4 linked regions of the Caenorhabditis elegans genome follow. The protein of the gene in region 4 interacts with the protein of the main gene of each other region in a pairwise test. Each region holds a gene or a part of one and is shown on either strand. Other genes may lie near its edges.

Region 1 (5,340 bases), on a different chromosome or scaffold from region 4:
AAATAACGTTGATTTTGGTTCATTTTCTATACCACCATGTTACATTGTAATATTACATAATTTTAATTTCAGGAGGACTTACCTCTACCGTTGCAAGAAGTGCTGCATGGATCTCACGGATCCGAGCCAACTCTACAACCATCACAGCGTCACCAATGGAGACCTGTGCACCTCGAAGACCGCGGAAATGGAAGTACTTCCTCCGATAGGAAGAGATAAATCGGTGGATCGTCATAGGTCGCTGAACGTATTTCTTATGGTTATATCGAAGGAAGAATACCATAAGCATAGGACTTCCTCCAATTATGCCCACAACACTCGGAGGACTGGAGGAACTCCTGCTTATGATGATCTTCCGTGTTTCAATCAGATCTCGAGGAAGAAAACATCCTACAGCCACCAGGTTCCGGAAATCGATGTAGAGCTCAACAGTTCTTCCACATCAGCTCTTCCAATTAAAGAAGAGGTTACTACAAGGAGCCCTGCACCAAATATGGGTTTTTGCGAAGTACGCCAGCTCCCAAAAGACTCCAGAGGGCCTCAGAGAGATGGCTCCTCATCTCCTGATGTTCAGTTCATCAAGACTGTGACTATGTCACGGTTAGAGAATGTTGTTCCTACCAGCTCACGTGGAAAGGCGCCAGAAGATTCATCTGCACCAGCACGTCTAGGATTCCTCTCCGATCGTGCGGTCTCCGGGTCATCAATCCCAGCCGTCGAGGAAAGATCTGGAGAAGGCAGCTTCGACTTTACAGGTCCTTCCACTCCTCGCTTGGCCCAGCCAGCTTTTGGGAACTTTTTTGGGAATAGGGCGAGTTCTTCGTCTTTCGGTGCACCATTGTCAACTCTAGCTGTGGACAAGCTGATTCCGGAACCTCATCTCTCCGGAAGCAAAGCGGTCCCAGACCATCGTTTCGATTTCAAACATTTCAGACGTCTCCGAGCAGCGGGAGGAGGGCCCCTCAAGGCGATCGCCGATGTCTCCATCTAATCAACGGGGACGTGGAGCAGGACACCAGCCACGTAACAGGGAACATACACCGAAATCGCCATTGAGAAACCAGAGGGTGAGTAATTTGCAAAATGACCTAGTTTATTCCTCGATCATGCGAAAAAACCAACTAAATCTATCTGTAAATTTCACAGCGTGGTCGCCGAAGCCCCTCGACAGATGAGTGGACCCCCAGACGTTCAGAGCATCACCATCGTCGTGACTATAGAAGAAGAAAGCGGGATTATTCAAGAGATCGCTCACGCCATCACGGAGATCGTTATTAAATTCCATGTTGCATCTCAATTTCTTTTTCTTCGATTTCTCGAGTATTGAGCCTTTATTCACATTCCTTCTCGTATGTTCATAATAAATATTCTATCTACGTTAAAAGTAAAATATTCTATCTACGTAAATCTCCTTGTCTAACGCTCAATACACAACACAAAACATTCGCCTATTTCTTAGACTCGTAAAACTTCCTGATTTCCTTATGAATTTGCATGATCAACGTGCTGCTGTTTCACTATGAACATTTTCTACTCGTATGTTATCCGAACGGCTTTTATCAATTTAAAGATTAAACTCCAATATTTGAATGGAAATGAAGATGTGATGGCAATGATCTATTCATTACTTCTTCTTCTGTCTCGTTAAGAAACAAGATTTCAGCCGTTGCAAAGAATTATATTTATTAAACCCTCAATTCAAATTTCGCGCTCTTTCGAAGACGGGATATCGGAGTGTCGTTGTTTATTTTCAATTTTATTTTTTATTCGCAAAAAATCAATATTTGACTTTTTCTTCTATTTAAAACAGTTTTTGTTGAATTTTTCCTTTCATATAAATATTATTAATCTTTAAAATTTTTATGTTTATATGATTAAATCTTCCTTATTGCCATTAATTGTGTATTTTTCCAGATCCTAAAATTCGATAAACAACCAAAATGAAGAATAACGAGGATTTAGACGAAGTAGTACATTTATCGCAAGTAAAATAACTAATTTCAATTTAGTTTTCCAATTTTCATTAAGAAAATCAAAAATTTTCAGAATTCCGATGCAATTTTCGAGGAATGGGCAGCTGAGTGCACTCCCGACGCGCAAAAAGAGCACGAAGAGCTCGAGGAGATTGTCAAGATTCCAGATTCGACATACAGAAAAAAGTATGAAATTTTTGTGCTAAAAATTTATTAAATATAAAATTGAAGGAAAGGAAATCAAAAGTTGCCGACGGTGACGACGTGCGAAGTATGTGGAGTTGCGTTGAAATATCCATCGAGGATTATGGTACAGAATATTTTATTTTTATAACAAAATGAAGATTTTTATTTGTTCAGGAACACATGAGAACTCACACAGGCGAAAAACCATACGAATGTGACATTTGTGGAATGAGATTCACTCAAAGAACTCCAATGATTAACCATTTTCGTGTTCAACACATGGGTGATCTCCCATTTCTGTGTAATTTCGGTTGTGGCAAACGATTTGTGAATAATTCACGCAGAACTGCACACGAATTAAGCCATAATGGATTGGTAAGAAAAGTTTTTATGCTATAGAAAAATTTAAAACATCGAATCAAGCATTTATATCCTAAAAGATTACCGGAATAAGATATATTTTTTGCAGAAGCGAGCAGGACCGGCACGGCCTTATCTGAAACCAGTTAAAAAGATTGTTTGTCCATCAATGGATATGGATATACTTTCAAATTCTGCACTAGCTAATTATATATCACCACCAACGATGTAAGTATATGCAGAAGTGAACTAAACTTGATAAAATAAATAAAAATTACAACAAAAAACAAGAATTATAAGATTTTACATTTTTTAAAAAGTGAATTGCGGTGTTTAATCAGCAATCTTTAAAATTGAGATTTTAACACTTTTTGTTCTTTAACAAATTTTAAAACAACATTTAAAAAATCGGTGTTTTAATTAATAAAAAACTTTGATAATTTAAATAAAACTCCTGAAAATTTCTAAATTCGAAAACTTCCATCTTATTTCCGAATTGGTAAATTTAAAAGAAATTAAAATAACTTTGCAGAGACTCAATATTTCAAAGTGATCCATCAACTTCTTCCTCTTCACCTTCTCAATTTCAATCATCAAATCAAACAACAAAACAATCTATATATCCATCAGAAAAAGAAATGGAAAAAGCTGCAATATCTAATGCTCGAATTGATGACGTTATTAATACAGTATTGGCTCGAGTTTTGGCTCCGATTGATGAAGAAATTCCGATCGAAGAACCAGAAAAAGCTCCTCAGAAAAGAGCATATATTTCAAATCGAAGAGCAACACTTGCACAATGCAATATTTGTGGATTAATGCTTAAACATCCGAGCAAAATTGCTGTTAGTTTTTTTTTCGATAAAAAACGAATTTTGGTGAAAAATGAAAAATTAAAATTATTTCAGTGCCCACAAGCTGAATTTTTGCTGAAAAATTGAGAATTGGACAGAGAAACAATTTTTTCGATAAAAAGCATTCGAAACTTGATTTTCTGAGCAAACAGAAAAAAATATTTGTAATTAAAATTTTTTAAATCAAAGCTTATAGGTTTAAATGTGTTAAAAAACAAAATTTCCAATTTTCTCTCTATTTATAAACCTCTCAAGTTCTGAAATTTCTAGAAAAATATAATATGATTTATTATATCGAAAATTGTTGAATTTTCTAAACTTTGAAATCAAAAATTACAATTTTTAATAAAAAAAAGAAAGATAAATTTATTTTTAAATACAAATTTCTTTCCCATTTTTCAGGATCATATCCGAACACACACAGGCGAAAAACCATTTGAATGTGGAGAATGTGGCTTGTCATTGTCAAAAGCGAGCTCTTTAAAAGTACATATTCGTCGAATGCATACTGGAGAACGTCCATTTGAATGTACTTGGAGATGTGGATTGTCTTTTGTAACGGATTCTGTTAGAAAAGAACATGAAATGACTGTACACACTGGTAAATATTCAAAATATATTTTACTATCCGAAATTTGGGTTAAAACCGGGGGTAATTTAGAAAAAGAAAGCAATTTCCATTTTTTTTTGTTGCAAATTTTAGAATTTTCTCAAATTAAGAGTGTTATTGAAAATATGTTAACTCAAAAATATTTAAAAGAGTAGTCATCTACAAAAATTACAATTTTTGAAACATTCCAGGTATAAAACGTTACACATGCGTTGTAAAAGGATGTAATGCAGTATTTGCTCGTCGTGTATATCTCATGAGACATCGAAAAAATGCACATCCCGAGCTCTTCACACCAATTTTCGATCATGTTCAAGTGAATCACGAGGAATCACAGGATTCAGTTATTGTTTATGAAGATGATCATGAACAGAACAATCAGATTATAATGCTCACTGGTGATGGTGATGACGTCAAGATCTTGGCTCATTTTGAAGATGATGAAGAGGAATTTGTGGAGCAAGGAGGAAGCATGGAAGATCAAAAAACTGTTCATTTTTGACCAGAAACTTGAAAAAGCTCTTTCATTTTCCAATATCTAGGCAACTTATAGGGTAACTAGCATTTTCTACTTCATATATTCAGTTTTCTATTCCACCCAGCAATTAGTTTTTAAAATGGAAGAGTTATTCAAATTTCAAATTTCTAGGCCACTATTAAATTTTGCATTTTTTAACCATTTTTTTCATTCAAATTCTAGAAAAATTGTGAGAATTAATTCTCACAATTTTCAGTTTATTTTGGTTAACCTACGAGTTTCTTTTTGCTTCTTTTTTTAATAAAGATTTTTTTTCTCAGATTTTTCAAATTTTTTTTCTTTTCCGTATTCAGTATTTTTACTGTTTAATTATACTTGCTTTTTTTTTATTGTTTGCCAATATATTTTGAAACTTTCTCCTTTCGCAAAAATTGAAAAGATGAGATTTTGAAATTTTTTTTAACATTTTCAAACTTTCAGCAAGCTATTTTTGAGCAGTTCGAAAAAATGTAGCGGTACTTTTTTTTTGAGCCCAATTTTCTATAAAATGTTTTAAAAGGGTTTAGAATGTAAAAAACCAATTAATTGTTTTTTTCAAATTTCACAAAATCCAAAACAAATTTTTTTAGATATACCTTTTTTAATTTGCTAAAAACTTTCTAAAGGTCCAGGAAGGCCCATAAAAAATTAACGTCGAAAAATAAAAATCGATATTTTCAGAAATGGCAGAATCTTGTGTAAAACCTCAACTACCTCGTCCTCGAATTCCAAATATTAGAGTTTTTCAACCAACTACTCGAATTCCCACATTTACATATGAACAATTCAACGAATCCGTCGAAATTCTTCCAAGTCGTCCCGAATGTCTTTATCGTCGAA
Region 2 (4,743 bases), on a different chromosome or scaffold from region 4:
AGCCATTAGGTGTTCAGCATAACCGGCCGACGTCGGGCGCTTCTATTTTTATGGCCGCCAGTAAATTTTAAGTCAGCACTCATGTACAGCAGCCGACTCTTCATGGGTTAGGGCTAGGATTTGAAGCAGGGAGATGTCGGCCGCTTTCTTTTTTATTGACAGCAAAATTTCAAAACATCTTAGTATAACTGCCGGCACCTCACTAGCGGGAAATAAGGATTAGGGTTATAACAAAACCATGAGATGTCGACTACTCGAGAAACTGACAAATTTTAAGTGCCAACTAGAAAACGTGTTTGGCAGCCGACATCATAAGGCTTTAGTAAAGCGGCCGACACTTCGCGCGCACGCTTCAGAGATTATGCTGAACCCGTTAAATGTCCGCTGCAATTTTAAGCATTTATTTTTTTTCAGGTTCTACTTCGCCGTCCTGCCGACCCTATTGGATTTATTGCCGAGTGGCTCTCAAAATACGTCGTAGAAATTCCACGTCACAATGGAAGTCATTGATTTCAACACATTTTTTAAGAATAAAAAAAGGAGAAACTTTTTTATTTCAATAAAATGTGTCATTTTTTGGGAAAATTTGTTGTCATTGGTATAAGTTAAATACATCATGGAATCATCTAGAAGACAGAAATGGGTGAAAAGGGTCTTGGACGGAGAGAAAATAGTGTCATTGGGGTTAATAAATCAGTCACGGGGGTGCAAAAAGGATCACCAACAAATGGGGAAATGACGATGATTTGGAGGATTTTTGGAAAATAGCTAATTTCTAAAAAAAATTAAAAATTAAATAGGAAAAAAGGTGAGTATTATAGGGAGATCTTGGAAAGTTGTTCGGGTTTCATCGATGAGTTCTTTTTCTGAAGCTGTGTAAACCGAAGGTAGGCGGCCGAGAAGGGGTGTACTACCTTGATGTGAGATAGATAGACTTCGAACTTTTCGTCCGTATAACCACAATCTTCACAGACGAATACCTGGAAATGTAGAAGTTATTGTCGGTCGGTGTGTGCCTAGATGCCTAGATGCCTAGATGCCTACATGCCTACATGCCTACATGCCTACATGCCTACATGCCTACATGCCTACATGCCTACATGCCTACATGCCTACATGCCTACATGCCTACATGCCTACATGCCTACGTACCTTCATGCCTACATGCCTACATGTCTACATGCCTACATGTCTACATGCCTACATGCCTATTTTCTATTTCTATTTTGTCTATTGTTTGAGTCTACTTTGAGAGTAGGCACGCAGGCGTAGGCAGACATGCATACCTTTCTGTCAACTCACCTTACTACGACGCTCTTTGTAGGCATATTGATGAGTGACACCGTGAACTTTCCGTAAATGGGATTCCAAGGAGCATCGTTGAGTGAACGACTTCTCGCATTGCTCACATTTGTAGGGACGGACGCCTGGAATACAGAAGGTCATAGGTAGATAGGCACGCCTGCCTTTGTCTGCTTATTTTTGAATTTATTATTAAACAATTTTCTATTCAAATAACTTTTTAGAAATACATTAAAATGAGCAGAACGTGTTGTCGGTTTCAATTTTAATGTGGTCCCCTTGATTTTCCACCGTAAATCAAGTTAGAATCGTCGACAATTTGCGGTGAAAATGTGTGGAATATTACGCTTCGCTACAATGGATTCAATGACACCCCACAAAAAAGCAGTGTGCTAGACAAACAGACGCAGACAATTGTCTTCCAACCGTAAGTCAACGGAGGGTAAGAAGAACGACAAATTAGTGGTTATGAATTGGTGGCAGAGGTAGAGGAGTACTTTAAAGTGTTGAGAGGTACCTGTATGTGTTCTGGTATGCCTTTTTAAGTCGAATGTATCGTTGAAACCCTTTCCACAAAATGTGCATAGATACCGTTTCAGGTCACTATGACACTTTATGTGACGGTTCAGAAGACGTTGTAAACCGAACTTTTTGCCGCAAATGTGACAGGTTAATGAATCTTGGAACTCGTCTTTGCTGGAGGAGATGAGGGATGAAGGAGATACTGTTGAACACGGAATTGAGGTGGTTTCGAAGGAGCTGATCAACGGAGCCAGGGGGTTTTTGACTCCGTAGCCTCCGTTTACAAACTCCACTGCTGGATTTATAATTGGCTGAAAATCAGAAAAAAAAAATTTAGAATTTTCCTTGATTAGCGTCTTACACTGGGTATGGCTGCCTTGGGTGATGGCGAAAGAATCGATGCTGGTGGTGAAGGATCATCATCGAGAAATCGTTCAATGAGAAACTGAAAATGTTCCTTTCATCGTAGATAAGTATTGTGCCTGCCAATGTGTCTATCTAGGCTACGCGGTTCAAAACGAAAAAGATAATTTCAGGCGGTTTCAGAACAAAAAATATTAGATAAAAATTTCAAGATGGCCGAGATTTCTAATTTTCTAGGCCACCAACTTTCCATTCCTACCTTTTTCGAATTCTTCTCTTCGGGTTTGCTGCTATTGGTGCTACTTCTCGAAATTGATGTATTATTATTATTTGCAATCATCTGAATTCACACTTTCAAGTTTTTTTTTTGAAATCAAGACTCAAATACCTGAGTAATAACACTAATGTCTCGAGGCAGCAAATGCGCTCCAATCAGCGGCAGCCATACCCGTGAATCCATCTGAAATTGAGCAGAGCTGAAAATTTTTGTGATGATTTTGTGGAATTTTTTCCAAACAAGGAACAACAAGCGGAAGCGTCCGAGTCGGGGCGGGGTGTGTTATCACCGAAGAAATCCAATCCGGCAATTATTTCAAATACTCGGCGCCAGATAATAATAGGTACAATGTCTCGGATGTCGGGAATAATTGGAATATGGAGGTGTTGGCTCCGAGAGCACAAAATCACGGTAGGGAGAGGATAATCATGAAACCGAAAGTGAAATTTAGGATTTTTCTGGGATGGTTTAGGGGAGAGGTACACAAAACTATTGAGCGTTCCCACAAGCCGAAGCCTAGGCTTAAGCCAAAGCTTATGCCTAAGCTGAAGCCTACGCTGGAAGACTGAGCCTAAAGCAAAGCCTGAGCCTAAGCCCTAGCTTGAGCCTAATCTTAAGCCTAAGCTTAAGTCTAAGCCTAGACCTAAACCACAAAAAAAAGTTGGGTAATTTTCACGAAACTCTCCCAAAACCATTTTTAGTTCAACAATAAAAAAAATCCGAAAAAAATATTTTGTATTTTTTTAAATATTTTTTTGTGTTTTTTGTGCATATAGTTTTGAAAAAGTTGCATTTATAACAGGAAATTTCAGTAAGACAGAAAAATCTTCAGTTTTTGGCTGGAAAACTGAAATATCTGAGAGAAAAATTACCTAATCGAATTGTTTCAAAATTTGAGCTAGAAACATAGATAAATATTTGGTTCACTTGAAAAACTATTTTTATTTTTGTTGAAAATTTTTAAAAATCCCCCAAAATAATTTCTGCAAATTGCCAGAAAATATAAAAATGATGCAAGAAGGGACATGAAACTTCTTCTTACATGTAGATATATTAATATAATTGTAAGGATATATGACACAAGTATATTAGGCAACTAGTAGACGGTTACAGTTCCCCCTTCTTCCCTTTTGTGTGTTGGTGAAACGGATGAGCACTTGGCGCACTTGAGAAGCGGTTTCTAGAGAGAAGAAGAAGAAGCATCAATTGGAAAGAGAGGAACAACAAAACAATTGTGTATGGCACCAGAAGAAGAAACAGTTGCCCAATGCCAAGATGGGGGAACGTTTAGCAACGGATGAGCTTGTGGCGATTAGAAGGCAGGTTGGCCGTGACTACAAGAGGATTACGGTAGGCAGACATGAAGACCGTTTTGAAAAAGGAAGAGAGGGGGATTATTGCGTAATCGTTCAGGGAAGGGGTTTCGAAGTTTTCTTCTTTTTCTGCTTTTTTTTTGAGAACGAACTTTCAAAAAAAAAAACTGAAAAAAAAAGAAAACAAGTTCCAAAGGCGCGTTTTCCTGTCTACATGCCTACATGCCTACAAGCCGCCGCCTAGCGCCTTCTTCTTGTTGGAATGAACTTTGGCATTATGTATCTGAGCAGGCAAGGTAGGCAATAGGCACGTATTCAGGCACAAGGCAGGCGAAGGTTGTCTTAGATGCAGGCAGGTATTACTGTGCCGAAGTGGTTTTTTCTTGGAATTTAGATGATACTCTGAAACTTTCGATGAACTCAAAAATGTGGCTATCATATTTTTGCGAGAAAAACTAAATTAAGTTACAGTAAATCTTAAAATTCTTATTTTTAATGAGTGGCCTAGTTTTCTCAATCTTTTTGTGATTTTTCTCCTAAAATTACGGCCATGGGTCCTGGCACGAGCGAAAAAAAAACTTTCCAACTACCGTACTCTCTTTTACCGGCAATTAAAAATTTCCAAATTTAATATAAAGTTCAAAAAACTGAATTCAAATACCAGCGATATATCAAATTAATTAACAAGTAACGGGAGAAAAGTGTCATAAAAGTCGTTTTTGATATCTATCAGGAAAAAAGTGATAAGGGTGAGATAATAGTGGCGGCTGAGAACGCAAGAACTTTTTTCATTGATAAGAACACAGATATCAATTTAATGAAAAATCGCATTGAGGTCCCGCAACAAACCCCAAATTTGGGTCTCGTCGCGAAAATAAATTTACTTATTTTTTTGCGATAAGACTCATCTCATTTTCGTAGTTCGTAGAAATAACTGAAATTGTTCAATTCTCCAAAACAAAATAA
Region 3 (5,077 bases), on a different chromosome or scaffold from region 4:
GAACATCACTGCTTGTTGCTGTCGTCTTTCCGAACACAGCAGTTCCGATCAATGTAATCAACCAAACGAGACGACCTTCGGCAATCGCTGTATTGGCATCCTGTAAATACAAATTATAAGTTTCAAAAAAAAACAACTAAGTGTCTTACATTTTCAGATCCATTCATCCAGATGTTGGCATTTTGATCAAAGTGTTGAGTGAGAAGTTTACATGTGTTTTCATATTCGCATCTACATATAATCGCAAGATGTTCCATAACTTGAAGGGTTGCTCCTTGATCATCTAATGGATTCTCAGCTCCTTCTCTGACAATGCTCTCAACGTGTTGTAATCGACTCTCGACGAATGCTGTCATGATTTCTGGACAATAAACGTTGAGAAGATGCTCATCATTATTTCGAACATATGGAACAGACGTCACCATTCTCTGCCAGAATGTCATAAGAAAATATGTACTGTTGGCTGAGAACTCCATCATTCGTAGGCTTTGTACAGTGAATTCCGCGAGTAACCTTAGCATGTGACTGTAGCAGGGAACAGCGATGAGCTCGCACAGCTGATAATTTGTTTTCAGACGAGCAATCAAACGGCAAAACTCGTGGAATGCGGCCTAAATCAGGTATATAAATATGTTTGCCTTTAATTTTTCATTATTCTTACCTGGTCACTAAGCTTCCCAGGGTTCATAATTACACTGACAACTCCTTCAACAAGTTTTTGAACGTAAGCCTGTCGCTCTGTTCCATTGAAAAGCGTTCTTCGAATACTTGCCAATTGAGCTATTATTGTCATCACTTTTTCACTTGATTCTTGTGGAAGCACATTTAAAAGTTTGAACATAAGCTGTACAATTTTTCCATCAGTAAAACTTGCTCTCCATGCTGTTGGGATTTGCACATTACAGTTGTCTTCACTTGTTTCGTCTGTCAAACTTCCTATATAATCAAAAAGTAGACATTGGAGATTCAAGTTGAGAACCGCGTGAAGAAGACCCAATTGGCGATCGTTCAGATTTCTGTCCACATTATCGTTCAAAACATTCAGAGATACCGAGAAAATCTCATATAAAAAATCGTCCCTGAACTGCGAAAGATTCTTGCGATGTTTGTTAACTGAATCCATTCCCGAAGCTGAATTCATGTCAGCAACGAGTAAGGTTAACAGTTGCACGGCCAGCATACTTTCCTCGATATTATCCATGTTGATTGTTTTGACAAGGCTATCAACCGGATCACGAAATGGATATTCAATTTTTGTGTCTTCTGTTTGATTTTCTGTGGGATTTTGATACGTCCATTCTTGTTTCGTGAGTCTTGCAAAAAGTTGGCAAAGTGATGTGACGAGATATGGAGGAAATTGAGGTGCACCTTGACCTAGCATTTCCAATAAATATTTTGCAAGCTCGAGCTTCTGAACAGAAGTGATGCTAGTTTTTCCGCCGAGAAGTTTCATTAGTGTGGTGCTTGCTACCATTGGTCCGTATGGGTACTGAAAATCATTATGTAAATTGTTTAACACTTTTATTATTTCGACTTACATCTCCTCGTGCAAAGAGAAGCATGCATCTTTGAAGGCATTCGGGTGACTCTGACAGTTCCGCAAGGTTACTCTCGGCTCGGTGTCGGGCTTGCGGATCGACACTCTCATATAGATCTTTGCATAGACTGTTTAGTACCTAAAATAAGATTAGAATGCACATTAAGAATTTTGAAAATGCTAACCGGTAATTCATCCATTTTTGAAGACTTCGAATCCGCTGTTCAGCGATTCACTCCTAAAATATCCAATTCAGAAGTAATTATAGCTTGAGAAAGAGGAGAAAAATGTTTTGAAAAGCAAAAAGAATGTTTAAAACGGATAAAATTAATTCGGCGTCTTCCCACCGTTAATTGTTTCGAAAAACTGCAAACTTTGGTGATGATTTGAGTTTCTGAAAGACGAAACATCTTGTCCTGGTGAAGTACACGGCGGATGGCCGATAAAAAAGTTAGGCCATCCTTTCTCATCCTACTCTACATCCCACAGGCTCTCTCGCCACAATTGGCATCTTTTGGCAGTTTCCACTATTTTCAGAATTCGTTATCTGTTTTCTGATAACAAAAACAAGAAAAACAGAATCTTTACGACTACTTCTTTATTTATCCGCTCTAACCACTCATTCTACGCAGATTTTGAATGGCAGAGCGGTGAGTTTTGAAATTTAATCTGTAGTACAACATGCAGTTGGAAATGCCAAAAATATCAATAATTTCAGAGATAAAGATGAAATCTTTAGTTTAAAAAGTTATCAACGTCCAATTGTCTATCATTCTGAATATAATGTAACTGCATTTGGAATCGAACATTTACATCCATTTGATTCTTCGAAATGGAGAAGAGTCATTACACATTTGAAAGAAATGAATCTGATCACTGATGAAACACTCGTTGAGCCAAATCTACCGACATTTGAAGAACTCACTAGAGTACATGATAGAAAGTAGGCACATGAAAGTGTTGTGAATGTGATTGAATCGTGGAATTGGTTTATGAAAAAATCATGTTTGTATGGCCCCATACTTAAATTGAAAGAAAATAATTAAGCTCATAACGTTTATAGTTGACATTCTAAAAAAAAGTTAGATGAGGCGTTCAACAATTTCAACTAATAAAAAAAATTTATTCATATTATTTTAGATATCTGAAAAGTGTTCGAAATCCTATTAAAGCAGCACAAATCGTCGAGATTCCATTTGTCGGTTGCCTTCCACCGTGCATTATTGAAAGCAAGTTATTGCATCCACTACGGTATCATTCCTAGTAATTGTTGTATTCATTTATTTGTGTTTTCCAGTTTACAAGCCGGTGGAACAGTTTTAGCTGCCAATTTGGCTCTAAAACATGGTTGGGCGATCAACGTGGGTGGTGGTTTCCATCATGCTTCTCGTATGTTTTTGTTATTCCGCAAGAAAAATAGACGCTATGGGATTGTACAGCAGCCTATAATTTCAGATTCGGGCGGAGGTGGATTCTGTTTTTACGCTGATATCACCATGGCAATTTTCGATTTGTTTGACAAAAAGGCAATTGCCAACGCGATTGTTGTAGATTTAGATGCTCATCAGGTACTGGAAAAAACATTTGAAAGAATATAAAATACCGTATATTTTCTATTGATGCGTGCGGCACCTTCACTGCTCAACTTTGACAGCATATAACTCAAAGGAACACGTGTAGTCAGAAAATCCCATTCCGCTTTGATCTTCGAAAAATGCGGGAGTTGAGACGCAGACATCTCATTTGATTTGGAATGGTTAAGAACGTGCTGACGTCACAATTTTTCTGGGAAAAAGTCCCGCATGTTTTGTAGATCAAACCGCAATGAGACAGTCTGACATCACATGAAGGAAGTATTTTGCCTAAAATCATAGATGGCCGATATCTGAGCTTTCAAAGTTAGAATTGTCCTCAAATTTTAGCTACCTTACAGTTACGTTAAGAATTCTATAGACTACGGTATCATTTTGGAAAACCATTTGGAACGTGAATGAAATATGTCTAGCCCGTAAAGATATTTCTCAAATATTAGATATTAATTCGAAATATTAATCACAATATTAATTGTTTAAAAAAATTATTAAAATTTAAGAATCCAATTTTTTGCTTGAATCATACTTTAAGGGAAATGGCCATGCACGAGACTTTGCTGACAATCCGAATGTGTTTGTATTTGATGTTTTCAATCCATATGTCTATCCACATGATCGTGAAGCTCGTCAATTTATTAACAGAGCGGTTCATGTAAATGGTCATACGACTGATACTTCCTACCTCTCGTAAGTATTCATAGCGGCTTTCTGCTTTCACTGACCGACTTTATTTAGCGAATTACGCAAACAACTGGCACAGTGTTTAATTGATAGAGAGAAAACTACTCCTCCTGGTTTCGATTTCATTATGTTCAACGCTGGCACAGACTGTCTACTTGGTGATCCTCTGGGAGCAATGAAATTGAGTCCACAGGTGTGTGAAAGCAAGGAATATTGTTATACGAGTTTGGTATTTGGTGTATAGTCTATTTTGAAATAAGATGTTGCATATTTTTTTGAAAATCAAATTTTCAGTGCATAATTGCTCGAGACGAAGTTGTGTTCAATCTAGCAAAATCAAAAGGAATTCCAATTTGCATGGTAACCAGTGGAGGGTATCAGAAGGACAACGCGCTTCTCATTGCAAAATCAATTGAAAATCTCCAGTCAAAGAATCTCATCAGTATCAAATAAAAAAGTTATATCAGCATATCTTTTCCTTATAAATTATTTTTTATTAAACTATTTTTTATTGTTTAATGGCAGGGGAAACTAAATAGATAGAAGGATCAAGTTCAAAATTTCATTTTAAAATCGAATGGATGATTTTGAAACATTCTATATCAACCCGATTCCATTAAAAATAAAACAATCCAAAATAATACAAAGTACTCTGAATATGAACTTTTCCTAAAACTTTCAATTTTTATGAATCCTCGACTCCTCCCAAATTTTCACTTTATGTGGATGTCACTAGGTCATCATCGGGTAAAGGGTCACACAGAGAGACACAGTCATTTCTCGCCTATATCTTTTATTTGATTCTTCTGTCGATTGCGACATGATTTGCTTCCGTACAGCTTTCATTTTAATTCTTGGAGTAGTGATAGGCACGACAGCAAAACGACACAATGTTCGAAGGCATGTCAATGGTAAATGGACTGATAAACATTGTGAAGAACCACCTAGTTTGGTTAGTTTTTGTTTTTTTAATTGAGAGTAAATAGTTTCACTAGCATGTTCTGGATATTGTTAGATATTTTTACATAGATTTATTCAATAAGTGTGTAAATATGCGTGAAAAATGGATGAAAGTATAACCCAAGTGTAAGTTTAGGAAAATCTCGAAAATCGGCCAAAAAGTCATATAGATATTCATGTTTATCCCCCATCAGTCTAAAATGACCAAATATAAAAATTGAAGTTTACAGAAAATTGTTAAACTTTAAAAAAAATTCAATTAACTTCTTGGTAAATTGCCAAATTTTCAACACAAACAAGAACTGGA
Region 4 (5,028 bases):
GCACACTTGTGATCCTTCCTCTCGATTGCCTTATTTCGCCACTACCTCCTACTGTATGTGTACTATTATAATTGAACGAAAATGATGAACAAAGGGTTTGGAGACAATCGAATCGTGCTTAAGATCACTTTTTTCATGTCTCAGATGGGATATTAGCTTGAGAATTTTGAGAATTTTTTTGTTGATATTTTTATAAAAGAGGCAAAATTGTGAATAATATTTCAAGAGCAAAACTCTATAAATACATCAAACTTTAGAAAACTGTAAAATACTTTTTTCTTAATTTGTTTTATTATTAATGTTGGAGATGTAATAAAGTTTTCAATAAATCTCGGAAATTCAAAGTGTTATCACTCCTAGAGATGACTTTTTTAATTGGACACTTTGTGAAAATTATCTTCAGAGGAGCATTTTATACTAGAAAAATTGATCTCGCCGTTTTTTTTTAATTAGGCTTTTAAAATGCGAAAATCTTCATTGTCCTAAAATCAGGAGTAATGTTTTAAAATCTGTTGGTAGAAATTTGAAATTTCTTAATCTAAAACTCTTGGCATTTCCTCCTTAAAACTGCTCTCCTGAAGATAAAAATAATCAGCATAACTTTTGCAAAATTCGCATATCAATAATTTTTAGTAAATCTTTTGAAGTTTTCAGAAATAAAATCAACTACCATAATTGAGAAAATCATATTTCTAACTTTCAAATATATAAAACAATTAACAGAAACAAATGTAACAATTAATTCACACAAGAACAGAGTTAAGTATTTTAAAACATCCCAACAGAAGATGAGGAACATTATTGATAAGATTGATGCTGGTACTTAACAATAAATTGAACCATGCTATAACTTTGAAAAAGAATCGACATTTTTATATTTTAGAAGTTATGATTGGCGTAAACGAGATGAGCAGCAAAATCATATTTTCCATCGCATAGGCTTCCACAAAGTGAGCATTTGAACGGAATATCATCTGAGTGGAGTCCACTGTGCAAATACCACATCACTTTGTCATCGAATCTGATTTTACAGTAATCGCAGTACTGAAATAATTGTTTTTTTACAAAATACGTTTTTTCCCAGAGGTACATACCCAGCTCTCTGGACCATCCAACTCTTCTTCTTCGGGAGTTTCGATTTCCGTAGATGGTGTTGGAGACAACTCTTTTGCGGATTTTACAGATCTAGAGCACTGTGGCAATGGGGCTTGTGAAACAGTGCTATGAAGCGGCTGAAAATATTATGTTACCAGTTGAAAATTCAATTTCAAATTTCTTACAAAGAGTGGTGCGATTTCAGTTTTGAAAAAGTCAAAGATTCTATCAAAATCATCTGGATTCTTGATGGGGTTCAAGATTGAAGTAGTGGATTTTGGAAGAATTGGAGCAGGTTTGAAAGAGAAGAATTTCTGAAAACTAAGGAGATTTATATATATCTACCAAAATCCAATCTATACATAGTGCACGTCTGACTTTAGTAGAGATTTTGTAGAAATAGCGAAAAAGTATTTTGAAATTCAATTCAATTATGTGGAGAAGTTCGAGTATAGTGAATTCTATTTTAGATCAATTTTTCTAATGTTTTGAAGCTTTCAAGTATTTTCGATTGCAAGACCCAACGGTTTTCAAAATTTTACTTTTAGTCTCAAATGAAAAGTTTAGTCAACATTCGGCAAGAATCGGATCAAACGTAGGCTAAACTTAACACATCACAGCTATAACCTACTCGTAAGCAAGTAGCTGATGTAAAATCCAAATAAAAACAGTGTGTGCTTCAATTCTTCCACAGAAAAAAGTACTCACCGTATGATCCAGGTGTGCAGTATGAAAATGAAGCAGAAGACGATGGGAACTGTTGAACCATTTGATGCAAGATTTACATTTAGCTGGAGACGATCCTCTTATGATATGCTCCGAATCTACATGAAACTGCAAACTCGTGAAGCTGTTGAACTTTGAATTGCACGCTGTGATGGGACATTCAAAGGTATTTCCTTTCTTGATATGGGTCATCATGTGCTCTTTCATCTGAGTTGGATTAAAAGTTGAAGAGATTGTTTTCTAATCTGTTTAATGTTTCAAGAAATAATGCTTAATGCTTTATACTACTAGAAAGCTCGATCTTTCTCAAAGTATATTTGAAAATACAACTTTTCTTGCATAACTGAAACTTTCATATAAAAAACTGATGGTCAGATCTGGAAAAAGTAAACGACTTTTAACAATCTTAACTTTGTTTTCAATAAAAATATTTAAAACAAAGCTTTTAAATTTTCTCTAGCTAACAGTAAATTAAAGCCAACGTATCAGTACACATCCACAGAAAAATAATTCCCCTACATCATTTGGCATGCTGGGTGCTAATTCTCTTTTAATTTTTTAGTGCTTTGGCATTAAACATTTATTTTTGAACAGATTCGCAAATCACAGATACCAGTAATCGTAAATTGCATTCAGTGATTATTAAAAACATCATGAAACACATAATTAAAATTTTTGTGTCAATTTCTGAAAATCAATAACACAGATTGTTTCATTCTGCTTTAAATCTGATGTACGAGTGATAAATTGAGTCAACTTTTAGGAAGCTTTTTTCTAGCATTTTTTTTAACGTTTCGACAAAAAAATCGAGTTATTTGTAAGCGTTTGGAATAATTTCAAGTAATTAACTTTCGTAAAGTAGGTTACTTAGTGAATTTTTTTGGTCACTAGAGATAAAGCTTGTACTAAAACGACTAAACTTTATAAAGAAACTTCAATAAAATATCCTCTATACAAATTTATCGGAAAACCACAAGAACTAACCCGATCATTCCGAAAAAAAGGTCTTCTGCAGAACTGACATTCAAACTTCTTTTTTCCACTGTGCATCACCTTATGACGATTCAAGTTTGTCTGAAAAAATATACATGGAAATCAAAATTTTTCTACGATTTTAGTAACTTGTTTTTTGTTGCTTTTCGATTTGAACAATGTTGTAAATTGATAATTAAAAAGAAATTTTCTAAAGATTTGAGTCTTGCGTCTCAGTTTTTCAAGAGCCAAACAAGAAAGTAGTTTACGAAACCATAAGTAACCTGGTAGGCACTTTAGTTTCTACCTATAACCTTTAGTACTCTCCACTCACCTTATTGGAAAACTTCTGGTGACAAATATCGCATTTTTCCATTTTGTAATTTGGAAGCTGGGAGGAATAAAGTCAGAGAGTGTCAGAAAGTGACTATAGGATTTTCTATTCCAAACTTTGGGTGGAGCACAAATTGTTTATAACTTCTCGGGTACTGTCGAAGGTCATTTGGGGGAAATATACAATCCTAGGTGTCAGATATCTTAACAAGTCGGAGAAGAAGCACATCTTCCGACATAACAGATAAGCCGGCTGCCGCTACTTGCCAGATGGTTGGTGACAAACTGGGGTGATATATAGTCAGAGGTCACTTTCATGATTTGGAAGAGAAGGTAGCAAATATAGTGGACAAATTGATATTAAATTACAATTGGGGTCAATTTTAAGAACAGTTACAGTACTTTGGACTGTACGAGTAAAAAAATCCTTTTTTTTTTTTAGAATTAAATTTCCTGTTTCATAGAAAACATTTGTTTGACTGATTTTAAATGTTTCATTCGGTTTTTATTTATCTCTGTAAAGTCTTTTCATTATTGTTAGAATTCAGAATTTTTACAGATTCATGAATTCACTAAAATTTTATGAGTTTCAGGATTTGTTAGTTTCAACAATAGAATCCCCCATCTCCTGCAAAACCGCAAATCACGTGGCGAAAAAAAGCGTTTTGTTCATAGCGTAATGCTCTTCCTTCTTCCTAATACATTAACCATGGCACAAATCGAATAAATTAGCATAATGTGTCCAGGAAGAAGACGACATTGGAAGACGTTTCTGGAGAAAAAGGGAAAAAAGGAAATCAAGTTTTTTCTCTTTTACCTTGGATGTCTGTAATATAGGATTACATGCCGGAAGAAGGTGAAGAGTGCAAAAATATTAGTTTTTAATGGAAAATGCTTTCGATTTTAATGTCAGGAATCGAAGATTCTCCGTGATAAACTTCTGGAAATAATATTTATATTTTTAGTTATCGGCTTTTTGGTGTATGAGATCTGATTTATTCAGTATCCAAAGATAGCTGGAGAGGTCTTACTCAAGAAAATGTTTTCATTTATTTTCAAAAAAATATCACTGTTTCAACAAACCCTTAAAATCAAGCTATAAAAGGCAGAAATGTTTTCAATCGAGATAAATAGGCTCTGATATTTTTTCAGATCTGAAAAATAACTATGAGTTTGATGGAAAGAATGAATGCCATTTTTCAAATTGAACACGTTTCAAATAGTCCATAAAACAGTTAACAATTAATTAATTTTAATCGGGATCATGCTCGACCTCTAAACGTATTATTTCCAAAATTATCCGGTGAAGATTTAGATAAAATATTTAAAAATCCGTCACATTTTTTTCGCATTTTCCGAAAATTTCACAGTTTCAACATAGCTAGAAATTAAATGTATTTTAAATTCAAACTGATTGCAACGGAATTTTAAATGTGAAATATTCAAATGTTTTTAACGTCCAACAAAACCACTGTTTCCTCTGTTTACAGTTTCTAAAGTAGTCCAAAAACCGAAAAATGAAAAAGTTTTGATTTTATTCTCTACTTATTTTTTTGCTATTTTTCATCTTGTACCTTCTACATCATCACTAATTCTGTCTAATGCTCTTGTTGCTCTTCTTCTTCCTCTGCTCATGTTGTTACTTTTTCCTAATTCCCAGCTTTTTTCTCTCTGCTTACCAGTCTAAATAATAAAAATGAGAAATCATAAATACTAAGTTGAAACAAGATACTGCAAAAGTGATATGAAATTAGTTTTAGTGATGTAAATCTTTAACTGTTTCAATATCCTTGTAACTACAGTATACTATAGTATTGATAGTTTTGATAGACTTCCTTAACGCTAGGGCATATTTATGTTTAGTGGTTCTTCAAACAAAAAAAACGTCGCGGGTAGAATATT

What was found.
Region 1: the proteins of ehn-3 (region 4) and let-391 interact in a two-hybrid assay, tested with the Caenorhabditis elegans proteins (one large-scale study listed by BioGRID).
Region 2: the proteins of ehn-3 (region 4) and lin-48 interact in a two-hybrid assay, tested with the Caenorhabditis elegans proteins (one large-scale study listed by BioGRID).
Region 3: the proteins of ehn-3 (region 4) and hda-11 interact in a two-hybrid assay, tested with the Caenorhabditis elegans proteins (one large-scale study listed by BioGRID).

Annotation. Positions count from the first base shown.
Region 1 is NC_003279.8:6,036,491-6,041,830, forward strand, and holds let-391 (C2H2-type domain-containing protein), read left to right. Parts: upstream 1-1,912; 5' UTR 1,913-1,940; coding exon 1,941-1,967; intron 1,968-2,046; coding exon 2,047-2,159; intron 2,160-2,204; coding exon 2,205-2,283; intron 2,284-2,333; coding exon 2,334-2,534; intron 2,535-2,628; coding exon 2,629-2,747; intron 2,748-3,051; coding exon 3,052-3,364; intron 3,365-3,775; coding exon 3,776-3,974; intron 3,975-4,174; coding exon 4,175-4,485; 3' UTR 4,486-4,777; downstream 4,778-5,340. Other genes in the region: C27A12.4 (C2H2-type domain-containing protein), read left to right, coding at 73-991; szy-5 (C2H2-type domain-containing protein), read left to right, coding at 5,184-5,340.
Region 2 is NC_003281.10:3,743,365-3,748,107, reverse strand, and holds lin-48 (Transcription factor ovo-like homolog lin-48), read right to left. Parts: upstream 2,671-4,743; 5' UTR 2,648-2,670; coding exon 2,576-2,647; intron 2,528-2,575; coding exon 2,447-2,527; intron 2,270-2,446; coding exon 2,186-2,269; intron 2,136-2,185; coding exon 1,820-2,135; intron 1,428-1,819; coding exon 1,303-1,427; intron 981-1,302; coding exon 816-980; 3' UTR 536-815; downstream 1-535. Other genes in the region: arcp-1 (ANK_REP_REGION domain-containing protein), read left to right, coding at 415-510. UniProt on the Caenorhabditis elegans protein: Transcription factor. Involved in development of the hindgut, the male tail, and the excretory duct cell. Involved in modulating function of excretory duct cells. Plays a role in left/right patterning of cell fates in the hindgut.
Region 3 is NC_003283.11:10,524,134-10,529,210, forward strand, and holds hda-11 (Histone deacetylase 11), read left to right. Parts: upstream 1-2,050; 5' UTR 2,051-2,176; coding exon 2,177-2,187; intron 2,188-2,255; coding exon 2,256-2,480; intron 2,481-2,677; coding exon 2,678-2,788; intron 2,789-2,834; coding exon 2,835-2,926; intron 2,927-2,992; coding exon 2,993-3,105; intron 3,106-3,661; coding exon 3,662-3,816; intron 3,817-3,864; coding exon 3,865-4,003; intron 4,004-4,104; coding exon 4,105-4,263; 3' UTR 4,264-4,311; downstream 4,312-5,077. Other genes in the region: xpo-7 (Exportin-7), read right to left, coding at 1-100, 150-611, 662-1,489, 1,539-1,676, 1,723-1,737; F25D1.3 (Interleukin-17), read left to right, coding at 4,631-4,762.
Region 4 is NC_003282.8:5,416,027-5,421,054, forward strand, and holds ehn-3 (Zinc finger protein ehn-3), read right to left. Parts: upstream 3,197-5,028; 5' UTR 3,170-3,196; coding exon 3,128-3,169; intron 2,896-3,127; coding exon 2,806-2,895; intron 2,437-2,805; exon of another isoform or gene 2,416-2,436; intron 2,143-2,415; exon of another isoform or gene 2,122-2,142; intron 2,029-2,121; coding exon 1,804-2,028; intron 1,461-1,803; exon of another isoform or gene 1,440-1,460; intron 1,410-1,439; coding exon 1,281-1,409; intron 1,233-1,280; coding exon 1,095-1,232; intron 1,045-1,094; coding exon 880-1,044; 3' UTR 673-879; downstream 1-672. UniProt on the Caenorhabditis elegans protein: Together with the zinc finger protein ztf-16, plays a role in gonadogenesis, specifically in somatic gonad precursor cell development. This is possibly by regulating tra-1 gene expression.